Linked DNA regions of Oryzias latipes. The protein of the gene in region 1 interacts with the protein of each later gene in a pairwise test. Links are inferred from orthologs where the notes say so. Each region holds a gene or a part of one and is shown in the gene's direction. Other genes may lie near its edges.

Region 1 (5,919 bases):
CCGTTTTAGAAGGTCATGTCCAACCTCATCTTGGAAACTTGGGTATCAAAATTATTTTCGAGTTTTCCATGGGAAATTACGACAAAGGGGGTCGTTTATGTGCAAACTTCACCTCAGATCGCTTCGTATTTTACGTAAATTGCGCAGCTGCACAGAAATGCTGGATAATGTAAAAATAAAGCCCCAACATCCTCCAAACTTACCTTGTGATTGATGTTGAAGTTCTTTATCTTTTTTTAGCTCCTGGTGGTGGATAAAGTCTCTGAGGCATGACGTTTTCTTGTTGTCGCTTTGATCAGCGTGACAAAATGTGCTGTTTTTTTTCTTTTCCCCAACTTTATTGAAACAAAATGCGCTCGTAAATGCACACTGTGCCAGACTCAGATGCAATTATGTTGACCAATCGTTGCTAAATGGTGTAACGTCATTATTTGGGTTGCCAAATTGGTTCATGTGTGCTGACAGGGGGGATCATTAAAGTGCAGGCAACTTTCTTTTGCACAACATTCAGAGCACACTTTGGTAAGGAAGTTCTATGAAATGGGTTGCCAGATTTGGGTCTTTTTTAATTTAATTTTTGTCGCCACTTCGGGGCCCTGCTGGTGACGGGGGCCCTACGCGGCTGCGTAATTCGCGTATAGGGAGGGCCGGCCATGCTTGCTCTGCCTCAAGATATGACGTCATGACACATTGACAGCTTCACACCAAAGTTACACCAACTTAATTGAATTAAGTTGATTGAAAGTAAAATAACTATGTCCGACAACTACGGGGTTATTTTTAAGTTGATTGAACTAAAAAAAAATATTTTCACCAAACTAGATAATTAAGTTAGATCAATGTAAAAAAGTTTAACTTTCCAACTACAGCCCAAATACTCTTTTCAGAGTGTGATGTGTTGTGTTACCGCAAAATTTTGATGTGTTTTTGTCCTATTTCCACAGAGTTGCCTATAGTCATTAGCTCAGGCTTGTGTATGTCAATTTTCAGAGAACGAAGAGAAAGTCAACGTATATTCTTATTTTAAGAAGAAAAGTACAGAGCATGATCCACAGCCAATATTAATGACTGAAGAGGAGGAAGACAAAGATGAGACGGCATCAGACGAGGACAAGTCAGCATCATTGGTCAGAGAAACAAGGTAGAACTCAGCAAAAAGGGCTTGACCTGTTCCTGGACCAACAGGTGATGTTAGAAATATGTTGCCCTAATAATAAAACTGTTTCATGTGTAATTAATCTCAATAGAAATGTCAATAGGTATTTTTATTTTTATTTCAGAACAACTGGTTTCACTTTTTGTTCATTATAGATATGTAACAGTCAAGAGCCGAACACACCAAGCAGACACACCTAAGCATTAAATATAAACACAATTAATCAAATTATCAGTTGTAGGATCTACTAATCTGCCACAGACTGGCGAACTGTCCAGGGTGTCCCCAGCCTTCGCCCACAAGTGGCCGGGATAGGGTCCGGCAGCCCGTGACCCAGAAAGGAACAAAATGGCAGAAGATGAATGTGTGTCTACTAATGATATCTACTAGTATCTACTGCATAGTGGTATCTACTATAAGTTAATGTTGTATAAAATAACAGTAGTAGTATCAGTGGTGATTTAACATATGTTAGTTTTCTAAAGGTTGTTTTACTACGTTTAGTAGAATGAATTTTAAAAATATTGCTCATTTTTTTGTGTGCCACCCTAAGATTAAAGTAAGATTAAAGTTGTCCCCTACCGGCCATCCCCATGAAAATTTTCTGGAGGCGTCACTGATTGCACCAAGACAGGACTAATCTAACTTAAACAGGCCTTTGAACAGACCTGCTATTCACCAAAAGAGGACAAACTACATAGTTACAACAGTGCATATTTTATTGGGTATACATAAGTATAAGCATACATACAGCAAATATACTATAGTCTATGTACATGTGCTAAATACTTTTTCAGACTTAATTGGGACATTTTAAGTTTACAATTTATAGATGATGTATAAAAATTAAACTTCAAGTATACGGCCTTAATTGCAGCATAGACTAATTAATACTACAATTAGTAGTTTTAGCTAAGTGTGGAGTTATGTGTGCAACATTTAAACAAATTAATCCAGGCTTGTCTACAGAGATTATATTATTAATAAAAATTAACAAAAAATATTGAACAAAAATTGTTCAAAATGTAATTAAATCTCTTCTCCCAATAAAAAATGACAATATTTTATCTATAATAATTAACATGTGTAGAGCACATATGCAGTCTGAATTTAAACCATCTTTTTCCTTTTTTTTCTGTTGTCATCAATGTTTTTTGTCATTCTTTGGAATATGCAAGAAAACGACAAATCAAATAAGCAAATAAACATTAAGTAGAAATTCAAATTAAATTAGATTAAACGTCAATATGAACACCAGCATTGTTGTAAAATACATTTTTTTCTTAAATTACATGTTTAAATAAAAATAATATTTTTACAAACTTTGATTGAATATAATATAACATTTCAATAAGAATATTTTCTTTTTAATGTTCCTCTTAATATTTAACATTTTTGAGGCTACGTCGCAGGTTGATGATGTCACCGCGTTAGCTAGCAGCAGGCGCAGAGGCGGCTAAAATGTCTGTAAGCGTTGCTCGTTTTCAGTCCAGTTCCACTCAAAAGTAAACGTTTGTCGCAGAAACCTGCCGTCCGTTTTCGCTCATGATGTCTTGGGTGAAATCCGCGTCGCTTAATAGTGAAGATGTGTTCGACGAAAACGCAGACGAGCTTCATTTACAGAGCAAAGAGTGGACCTCCAACATGAAGAAACGCGTCATGGTAAAAAAAAAAAAAAAAAAGTTAGCATATTATTGGCGTTTATTTATTTATTTATTATTACTTTATTGACTTCTTTTCTTCCGAACAGGACGGATATGTGGATGGAGTTGATGCCGGGGAGGAAGCCTCTCTTCAGGTCGGGTTTAACTTGGGGTTCAAGGAAGGAGCAGCCCAGACTGTAGCTGTGGGTCGACTGCGAGGAATTCTGGGGTAAAATTCACCTGACATGTCACTGAAAGCTATAGATTATGCTCAATTCCCACTCAAGTAAGAGTAGCCTTGCTCCCAAGTACTAACAGAGTAGAAGTAACAAGTAGTAATTCCAGTTTCCACTTAAGTAAATTTGAAAATTAGGTTAAAAACAGCAACTCAAGTACTGAGTAAAAGTAGCTGATTTATAGCGTAAATGATGCAGTCTGACCAAAGAAAAACTATAAATTCTGCTCTTTTCACTTATATTTTGAAATTTCAAAACAGTTTTTCCTTCATTTTATTTGAAACACTGATTTAAAATAGGAAATATGGATCCATATTGTGCTCTGTTTGTCCTAAACCTAATAGACATTCTGCTATAGATTAAAAAAAAGCTGGTTTGCCCTATTTTCTATTTAATGTTTTTTAATCAAATCTGCTTTACAAACGTTAAAAAACAGATTGTCTTTTCAGTTTCAGAAATTTTCAAATGTTATAGGTGTAGTGGGATTTAATCTTTACACTCTTCTCGGCTAATGAGTAATTTTTAATAATAAATAATTGGATTAAAAAAGGTCAACAAGTCTTAGTTCCAATAATAATCACAATTTAAAAAGTGTGGCTAGCACTGCTGTTTCTAAAGCGTTACTTGGGGAGATTTAACTGAAAAAAATAACGTTTTACTGCTAATCTTTATACATGTTTAAAATACACTAATTTCAAGATTTTACTACACTCAGTTTAGCTTTTTCTTGGTTAAAAAAAAGTGTAAAAAATGATGTGTTTGTGACATTTAGCATAGTTGTAATCTGTTTCCTGATTGTTTAGGGGTGAATTATGAATGATTTAATGATTTATAACTTGATATTTTAAAGTAAAGTCAATCATTTTATCCTGACTAGTTGTAAAGGAAGTAGGGAAGCTCTGACCTTCACTGTCCGATGAAGGTCATTTAAGTGTTTTGACGTCATCATCACTTCACTTTTGTTCCTCTTTGACTAAAGAATCCCTCACAGGGTTTTTGTGCAGAAACATCCTGACTTCCTTTGTTGTGATGGTTTATTGAATGCGCTTTTCTGTCCGTCAGACGGCCGCTCCAGTCTTTTCTATGTGCATCACGGCTCCCTCTGTGTCTCCCCGCCACAGGGCGGTCTGGTGCTGGTGCCAGATCCAGCATCCAGAAAGACCAGTTCCCACCCCTGTGACCGACCTCCTGCAGCGGGTTACAGAACACGAAACCCAGATCATGGAGGACATCAGGAAGGCTTTGGAAAATCCCCCTCCGAGTGTGAGTGACGTTTCGGAAAGCATGGACGCTCTCGATGTGGAGCAGGAGGATCCCTCCCTCTGCAGAGATGGAGGAAGTGGACCGTGTTGTAACAAGAGAGATGAAAATATGGATGTGGACAACCCTCACCAAAACCAAAAGATCCGCTCTGGGTCCACCAGCTGTTCCTCCAGCCCAGGTGAAGGTCTACACCTGCTCCTGCAGTGCTGTATGGATTTAGCATCAGAGCTGGGACTGCCGCAGGAGCTGATGGATCACATCCACGAGCTCGGGAACATCGACCGCATGAGCAGCATGTTTTAAATCTATTTACAGACTAAAAGTCTTGCTGGAACATTTTTCTTTCACAAACAGAAATGTGTATAATTTATGAAAGATTACTTTTTCATTTTATGGTTTGTAAATAATGTTTTTGATCATAAATATCTGTTTTGATCCAAAACAGAAGGTGTGTAAAAACAGCGGGGTATTTAAGTTCTAATGCTGAAATTGCGACACGAGGTTTGGTTGTAACCTATTGTTCTAAAAATGGGGAAAGTTTTTATTTTCACCTTTTCTTAAAAATAAATATGTAATTTACATATTTACATATTTATTTTTAGCTTTTTTTTTATAAATGCAAACCAACTGCTAATTTAAAGAGTAGGTTTTCTATCGAGAAAATTTGTAACTTATTTTAGAGCATATAACGGGAACTAAGTTATTGATAAAATATTTTTTATACAACTGTAGAGCTTCAAAAAGGTTTTAGCAAAGTTTTTAAGTATATATATATATATATATATATATATATATATATAAACGATTTTACAAATGAATGTATACAAAAAATATTCCCCACAATGTAAGGCTAAATTAGATATGTACAGATTAAATCAAGCATATACGAGTATAGTTTATAGTTTTGATTTTGAACGCGAAACATCGTATTGTGATTTACTTGGCAGCTCTTTTACGAGGCGCACCTGAACGTGGCACAAGTTCAGTCGCACATCAGTATGACGTCACCCTCGGACCGAACCGTGACCTGCTGCTCCTGCTAAGCTAAAGGGTCCGCGTACAGATGTTTCGCGGGAAGCTCGTTGAAATTTCGCGTTCTGTGCGCCGTTGTGCTGCGGGAGTCCACATTGAGGTGTTGCTGGAACGCACTACATGCGGCGGCATCGAGTTCCCCGCACGGCAGTCGCTCCGGAGAAACGCACGTTTGTGCGTTAAGTTTGCTGCAGCTAGCTGCCAGGCTAAGAGGCTAACCTGCTCCACAAAAGTGAAACAAGAGGAGCTTCGAGGGTTCAACTTTTGAGAGTTTGACTTTAAATTGAATAAAGGTACGTTCATTTTTTAACAATACAGTTTTATGTTTTTAAAATTTGCTGCCCTTAAAATGTAAAATACTTCCTTGCATTTCATTCATAACATAATATTAGGATTCACTTAAGTTAAGTTATTACTGCATTTTTTTTATCTACTTGCCCTCTTTTTGTAAAATAAAACCAATATGTTGAGATTAAAGCGGACAGTTAACATTGATTTTACTTAAACGTTTTAATTTGAAGTTAAACATTTAAATAGGATTAGGTAACTAGGTAACTCCTGTTTCCTTGATTATTCGAATCTCCTAAAG
Region 2 (6,166 bases), on another chromosome or scaffold:
CCTGGCCACCCCACCCCACTATAAACTGAGCAGGTAGCATCAGTTGTGCATTTCATCCCAAATGCACAGCCAGCAAGCGGGCAAGTCGCTCTAATCACCTAAAGCGGCCCCCACCCGGGGCCCCTTCCCTGCTGTCTTTGAGTGCGGAGACATCTACAGACGAGCCGTGGGACGCAGAATATGAATAAGACGCGGGGTTCACTTCCGGGTTCGAACCCCCAGAGCCTCCGGGCCGGTTAGACAAAAGAACCAATATCAGTTACTAAAGATGAACTTTATTGCTTTTTCCTTAAGTCCAAAACGGCGACTGACCGCGTGTGTATGCGCTCCACACCCTCACACGCGCTCTCCCCCCTCTCTTCCTGCATCGCGCGAGCACCAGTTTCAGCACGCATGCACGCACGCACGCATACACACATGCGCACGCACGCACACAATCACACATCCCAAAACACTACATTTCTTTTCATGCCTGTTAAATATTCTCTGTGGTGTCTTTTAACAATTTCATTACTGTACTTTAGATCACCTGATCTGTTGTGTTTGCAAATACTTGGTGCAAATACACATCATCAGCGGTGGTGGATGTGCCATTACTTTTTATTAATATGTAAAAAAGGATGTCCCTGTCACACGCGCTTCTCATTTTTATGGCACTATTTAAGCACTGGTTGTTGTGTTACCACAACATTTTGATGTGTTTTTGTCCTGTTTCCACATAGTTACCTACAGTCATTAGTTGATGCTTGTGTAAGTCAATTTTCAGAGAATGAAGAGAAATTCAACATATATTCTTATTTTAAGAAGAAAATTATAGCAGAAGGAGTGGAAGAGATGGTTGGGGAGTAACAGAGGAGTAGTGAGGAGGAGGAAGATGAGACAGAGCAGCATGAATGACAGAAGAGAATGAGGAAGACAAAGATGAGACGGCATCTGATGAGGAGGGTCAGTCAGCATGATTGGTCAGAGAAACAAGGCAGAACTCAGCAAAAAGTCTTCCACCTGTTCCTGGACCAACTGGTGAAGTTAGAATTAATGCAGTGTTTTTCAACCAGTGTGCCGCAGCGCACCAGTGTGCCGTGGGAAATTACTGTCATTACGGTAACTGATCTAAAAACATTTTCCATCTCCAGGATATCAGCTCTGTGTTCATCCAATCAGGCCCTGATAAAACACTGAGTAGTTAGGAATATGAAAGATCGTAAAATACTTCTTATCTGCAGTATTAACTGTTTTCTGTAAAGTCCCGCCCCTTTAACTGTCTCCACCAATCATTCTTGGAGGCTTAATCACATGTCATCAGTCTGACCAATCAGAAGTCGTTAAAGTCTTCAATTCCTTGTTCTGATTCTGCTCATAAAGTCGCTCGGTTCCAACAAAAATACCAGCTAAAGCTTGTCTTTAGCGGTGTATCTTTCCACTGAATCTGGTATCAGACCGTGGAACAAGTGAAGAAAAGAAGGAAGCTCAGAGACGCTAGTCTTTCTGCGCTTGGCGGCTGTTTACATCTCCCATGATGCATTGGGTTAAAGTGACAGCGTCTCAGCGCAAAGTGAGTCTCTCCTCTAAACGTCTTGTAACAACAACGAACACACATCAAACAGTTTTTGAATCTTTTAACTTAACTTTTATTTCATCAGATTTTTCTGCCACAATTGTCACAAAATGCATGTGAGATTGCAGAAGGACTTTAGATCAATATAGACTATGAGTTTCTCCTTTTTTTTTTTAAATTGAAAAATTTTTTTTGCTGGTGTGCCGCAGGATTTTTGTCAAGGTTAAAGTCTGCCGTGGCTCAAAAAAGGTTGAAAAACACTGGCCTAATGACATCTACTAGAATCTATAGTAGTATCAACTATAAGTCAATGTTCTAGAAAAAAATCAGTAGGCATTTAACTTTCTGTTGGTTTTCTAAGGGTTGTTTTACTACGTTTAGTAGAATGAATTTTAAAAATGCAGCTCATGGTTTTTGTGTGCCACCCAAGATTTAATGTGGCCCCCTACCGGCCACCCCCATGAAAACTTTCTGGAGGCGCCACTGGGCACTGGACATAATTATTGTTTTTATTGTTTTAGTATCATGTTTCAGTGTTATTATTTATCTGCGTTCTTTTAATTAGAGCTAGATCATTTCTCCTTTGTGGGGTATATTCTGTTCTATTCTATCTTAATTGAGACATTTTACAATGGTCTCTAACGGGCAAACTTGTATTACAGATTGACTCCAAACACTGTTCGTGTGTTTGCATGCAGTGAGTCCCGCTGTCCGGTAGGGGGCAGTGCTGCTCTGTACGTCCATAGTGAACACACTGTGTTGACATAGAAGAAGAGCAGCTGCGAGGATCTCCTGCCGTCAGCTCTTTAGTTGGCTGCAGAATGGAGATGCCTGGCGTCCACCCAGCGGATGATCTGTTTGACAGCATCATTTTAGCCGATGAAAAGCAAGTTTTCTGTATAAACGTTGTTTTATTGGTGGGGCACGCGCTTGACGGCTTAGAAACGTCGTCAGTGTAACATTTATACCTTTATTGTTACATTTTCTGTTCTCTTTTATGTTATTTTCACGATGTTTTCTATTTAAACCGTTTTTGCCTTTTTTTCTGTCGTAAGATGTTGAATAGAAACAAAAAGCATTTCTAAAAATCGTCAGAATGTGTTTGTTTTTCGACCGGTAAAACTTTTCACGATCGGGTGTGCTTTGCGCATGCGCTTAAGTTAACCGTGTGGTTACCGGGTAAACGCCACATTTTGGTAGTAAAAGAATTAGGATGCTCCCCATCAGTGCGTTTCTGGACAACATCTGGTGAAGTCCCCTCACCGGGTTCCGGTCTAACACCGGATGTGGGTTCCGCTGCACGGGGATCATGACCGTCTTCATTAACGCTGTTATTTTTAATTTGCTTTCTGTCCCTCCTCTCCTCCTTTTATTTTAAATTTCCTGCAGAAAACTCCAGTCAATAAAAGAACAGCATTTATTATTGTTTTTCTTTTGTGGTTCATTTATTTTTTTGGAAAGCTGTGGTTCAAATCCCAGGATGTCATGGGAGTAATGTAGGGTTTTCTGCTGACTGTTCTCCAGGTTTCGAGGTGAAGGTTACCAGGAGGGTTTTGAGAAGGGGACTCGCCGTGGTCTGCAGGACGGCCGCCGACACGGAGCCTCCCATGGAGCCAAGCTGTCCTCTGAGGTGAGTCCAGTTTTCGGTCCCCGTGACCGTCTGTCCAGCCTTACTCAGCTGCACCACGTCCTGATTGGATCGTCTCATGCCACAGATCTCCTTCTATTACGGTTTTGCCGTCACATGGAAGTGTCTCCTCCAGCAAAGCACAGATGACAAGTCAAGGTACGTTGCTCGGGGTGTTTCAGGAACTACAAGACGTTTATGAGTCACAGTCGTGTTGAGCGTTCATGTGAATCCAAATCAAGCGTTATTCATCAAAAGGCTCTTTTCACGCTTTGAACAACTCATAGCTTTACAGTTAAACCAAACAGACAAAAAAAGTAAATTAAAACCAACCCTTTATTCTAAAATATCTACAGAGCCTCAAAACTAAGAATCATTTTTTTTTAAAGAATTTAAAGTAGGAAAGTCATGAAATCACACCTTAATCAACTCAAAACAGCTGCAAGCCTTTAAAGAAGCCTCCATCTGAGTCAGAAGCTACACATCCACAGGCAAGACAGCCTTCTGTGCCATTCACCAGGAGGCCAGGCCATAAAAGGGATGAGGGTGCATGATGGGGCATGAAAATGACCCATTAGGTTCTGTGCGTTACACACCCTGTGAACGCCTGTAGAGTGTCCCGCTCCTGCTCCCTACAGTAGAGGGGGTGTTGTGTCATTGCAGGTGCTGGTATGTGTGTGTGGGTTTTCAAAGTGCTGTTGTCGTTGTGCTGCCGTCCTCTTTGCGTTGGACCCTCGTGTCCATGACGGATATTGTGTTTTCCTCGTCCTCCCCCCGAGTGAACAGTGTTTCCTGCAGCACACAGACTGTTGATAATCAGGGAGTTCTTTGGTTTGTTTGTTTTTTCATGTCGCGCTCGTACATTTTCCGTAACGTGAGTCTGCATGCGGTTGGTTGGTGCTGTTCTGATTCCTGTTGGGTCCAGGTGAAGAGTCGAAGCAAATGGTGAAGAAGCTGCTCATTCTAGTGGAGAGAGGATCGCCATAGTCAGGCTTTGTTTTTGCCTCCAGTCTTCTGTTAAGTAGAAAAAGGTGGATTTTACTACAAAACACGCCCACCGGAAGGGTTGTGTGAATAAAAGAATTATTTGTTTTTTAGTCCCTTGTACTTGGTGAGTTTTTTCTGAACTTGCAGTGAGTTTCTGGGTTCAGCAAACTCAGATAAGGATTTCCTCTTTCGTAACTCTTATGGTTCTTGTTCTAGCTGTTTGAAGTGATATTCTGTTTGTCCAAACGGGTTTTATTTTCTCCACTAGAACCTTTTATCTGTGACCAATCCATTGCTGTCCACAAGGGGGCGCAGGAAACCTCTTCATTAATTGAGTGGGAGAGCACTTGTTTTTGGGGTTATTCTGACTGTAGTTCTTATTTCCACATGAGCTTCTTCTGCTGTCTTGTTGCATTCTAGAGGACAAAGGGTGAGGCTACAGGGAGGTGGAGAAGGGCCACCCGTCCCGGATGAGCGGAGGAAGATGGAAGGATCTCTTGTGTTCTGGCTCAGTGTAGATGCAATGACTTCATAAACCTTTTTGTAAGGAAATGCTGAGGCCGAGAGTGGTCTGATGGCATTTACGGCTACTACGCAATTTTAGTTCTGCTGGTTCTGGATCTGGATCCAGAACAAGTTATCCACCTTCAGTCTCTGTGGTTTTGTAGGACTCTGCTAAACTTGCAGATTTGAAACCTTTGGTAAAAATACACACCAACCTTCTAAGGAATTAAACGGACAACAAAAACTGTTGGTTGGAACATGTGCAGTTTTCCATGTAGGTCGGGAATCCCTGGATTCTGAACATTGGTGCTGTGGTCGCCGCTCTGCGTCAGGCAGCATCCCGGACATTTCCCAGCATTGAAGGATTGTGTGGAGTTTGAGTTGAGGCCCGTTCCAGCTCAATGTGTTGTGTCAGCAGAAAGCGCGTGAAGGCCTTGGACGCCGTGCTGGCTTTGATCCAGAACTGTAACCTGGATGATCCACAGTCTGAAAAACTGCAAGATGAGACGGAGAAACTTCGAGCAAAGTTCAGACAGGTATCCCATTTCATCCTGAGTCTTTAATGGTTGCCTTGAAAATTCCTTCCATCTACGTTTCCACTCCTCTTGTACGCACTGCACGGATTTGTTAAAAAATGATTTTTTTTTCTGAAAAAATTCTTAATAAATGAATAAACCAAGTTTAGCTTCAGATGCAACATCACAATGTTTTTACTAGAAGTTCAATGCAGAAAGATTTTAAATGGATTGTAAACATTTAAAAAGTATCAAACAAACATGAACACAACAGTGTTTTAGTTTAATTTTCCTGTATGCTGCATTTGCTTTCATGTAAAACATTTAAAAACATCTTAATGTATGAAAGTACGAGGTACTGCTCTTATGTTGTGAACAGATCTCAGCATGTGCGTCACACAGCGTTCACCTTTGGGCCGTTGTCGTGTCACTCAGTCGCAGCTGTTAAAGGCTCTCAGATGGATGAGTTTCATGTATGAAGTGTAAATAAAGTTTTTGCTGACTGACGTCTGTACGCTGCTGCAGGTCTGCTCCATGCTGAACATTCCCACGGACTTCAGGGACTACATCAAGGTGGCCGAGGGGACTTCGTTCTGAGTTCACAGCTGCCATGCAGAGCCCTGCAGCCCCCTGTTGCTGCATCTAAGGGCTCTCAAGCCCGCCGGCTCGGGGTTGGCCCGCACCGGTTGGAGCACCGTGCCAGGAGAGTTGGCCTCTACTTCTGTGCAGGGCGCTAACCTTAAAAGAAGACTGGTCTGCTCATCACAGACTGGAACATGTTATTTATTCTAGAGAGTGGAGTTGGTTTGATCAGGTTGGTTGAGTTGTCATGTGATGCAGTGATGACAGTCTGTAAATGGGATCCTAATAAATGAAAAGGATTACAGGCTCACAAGGGAAAAGTACAGAGGCACTTCAGCAGGAAGAGTTGTGGGATGAAGAATCTGCAGACTTGAACCCACTCCCGCTGTCTGAAGG

The links.
Region 2: the proteins of yae1d1 (region 1) and oraov1 interact in binary tests that used the Homo sapiens proteins (3 or more experiments, as listed by UniProt). The link is inferred for Oryzias latipes from reciprocal best matches to the Homo sapiens genes YAE1 and LTO1.

The regions. Positions count from the first base shown.
Region 1 is NC_019878.2:20,807,558-20,813,476, forward strand, and holds yae1d1 (yae1 domain-containing protein 1), read left to right. Parts: upstream 1-2,561; 5' UTR 2,562-2,701; coding exon 2,702-2,818; intron 2,819-2,906; coding exon 2,907-3,028; intron 3,029-4,156; coding exon 4,157-4,601; 3' UTR 4,602-4,881; downstream 4,882-5,919. UniProt on the Homo sapiens protein: The complex LTO1:YAE1 functions as a target specific adapter that probably recruits apo-ABCE1 to the cytosolic iron-sulfur protein assembly (CIA) complex machinery. May be required for biogenesis of the large ribosomal subunit and initiation of translation.
Region 2 is NC_019861.2:4,834,209-4,840,374, forward strand, and holds the start of oraov1 (oral cancer-overexpressed protein 1), read left to right. Parts: upstream 1-2,295; 5' UTR 2,296-2,376; coding exon 2,377-2,504; intron 2,505-3,079; coding exon 3,080-3,185; intron 3,186-3,270; coding exon 3,271-3,341; intron 3,342-5,088; coding exon 5,089-5,209; intron 5,210-5,713; coding exon 5,714-5,785; 3' UTR 5,786-6,166. UniProt on the Homo sapiens protein: The complex LTO1:YAE1 functions as a target specific adapter that probably recruits apo-ABCE1 to the cytosolic iron-sulfur protein assembly (CIA) complex machinery. May be required for biogenesis of the large ribosomal subunit and initiation of translation.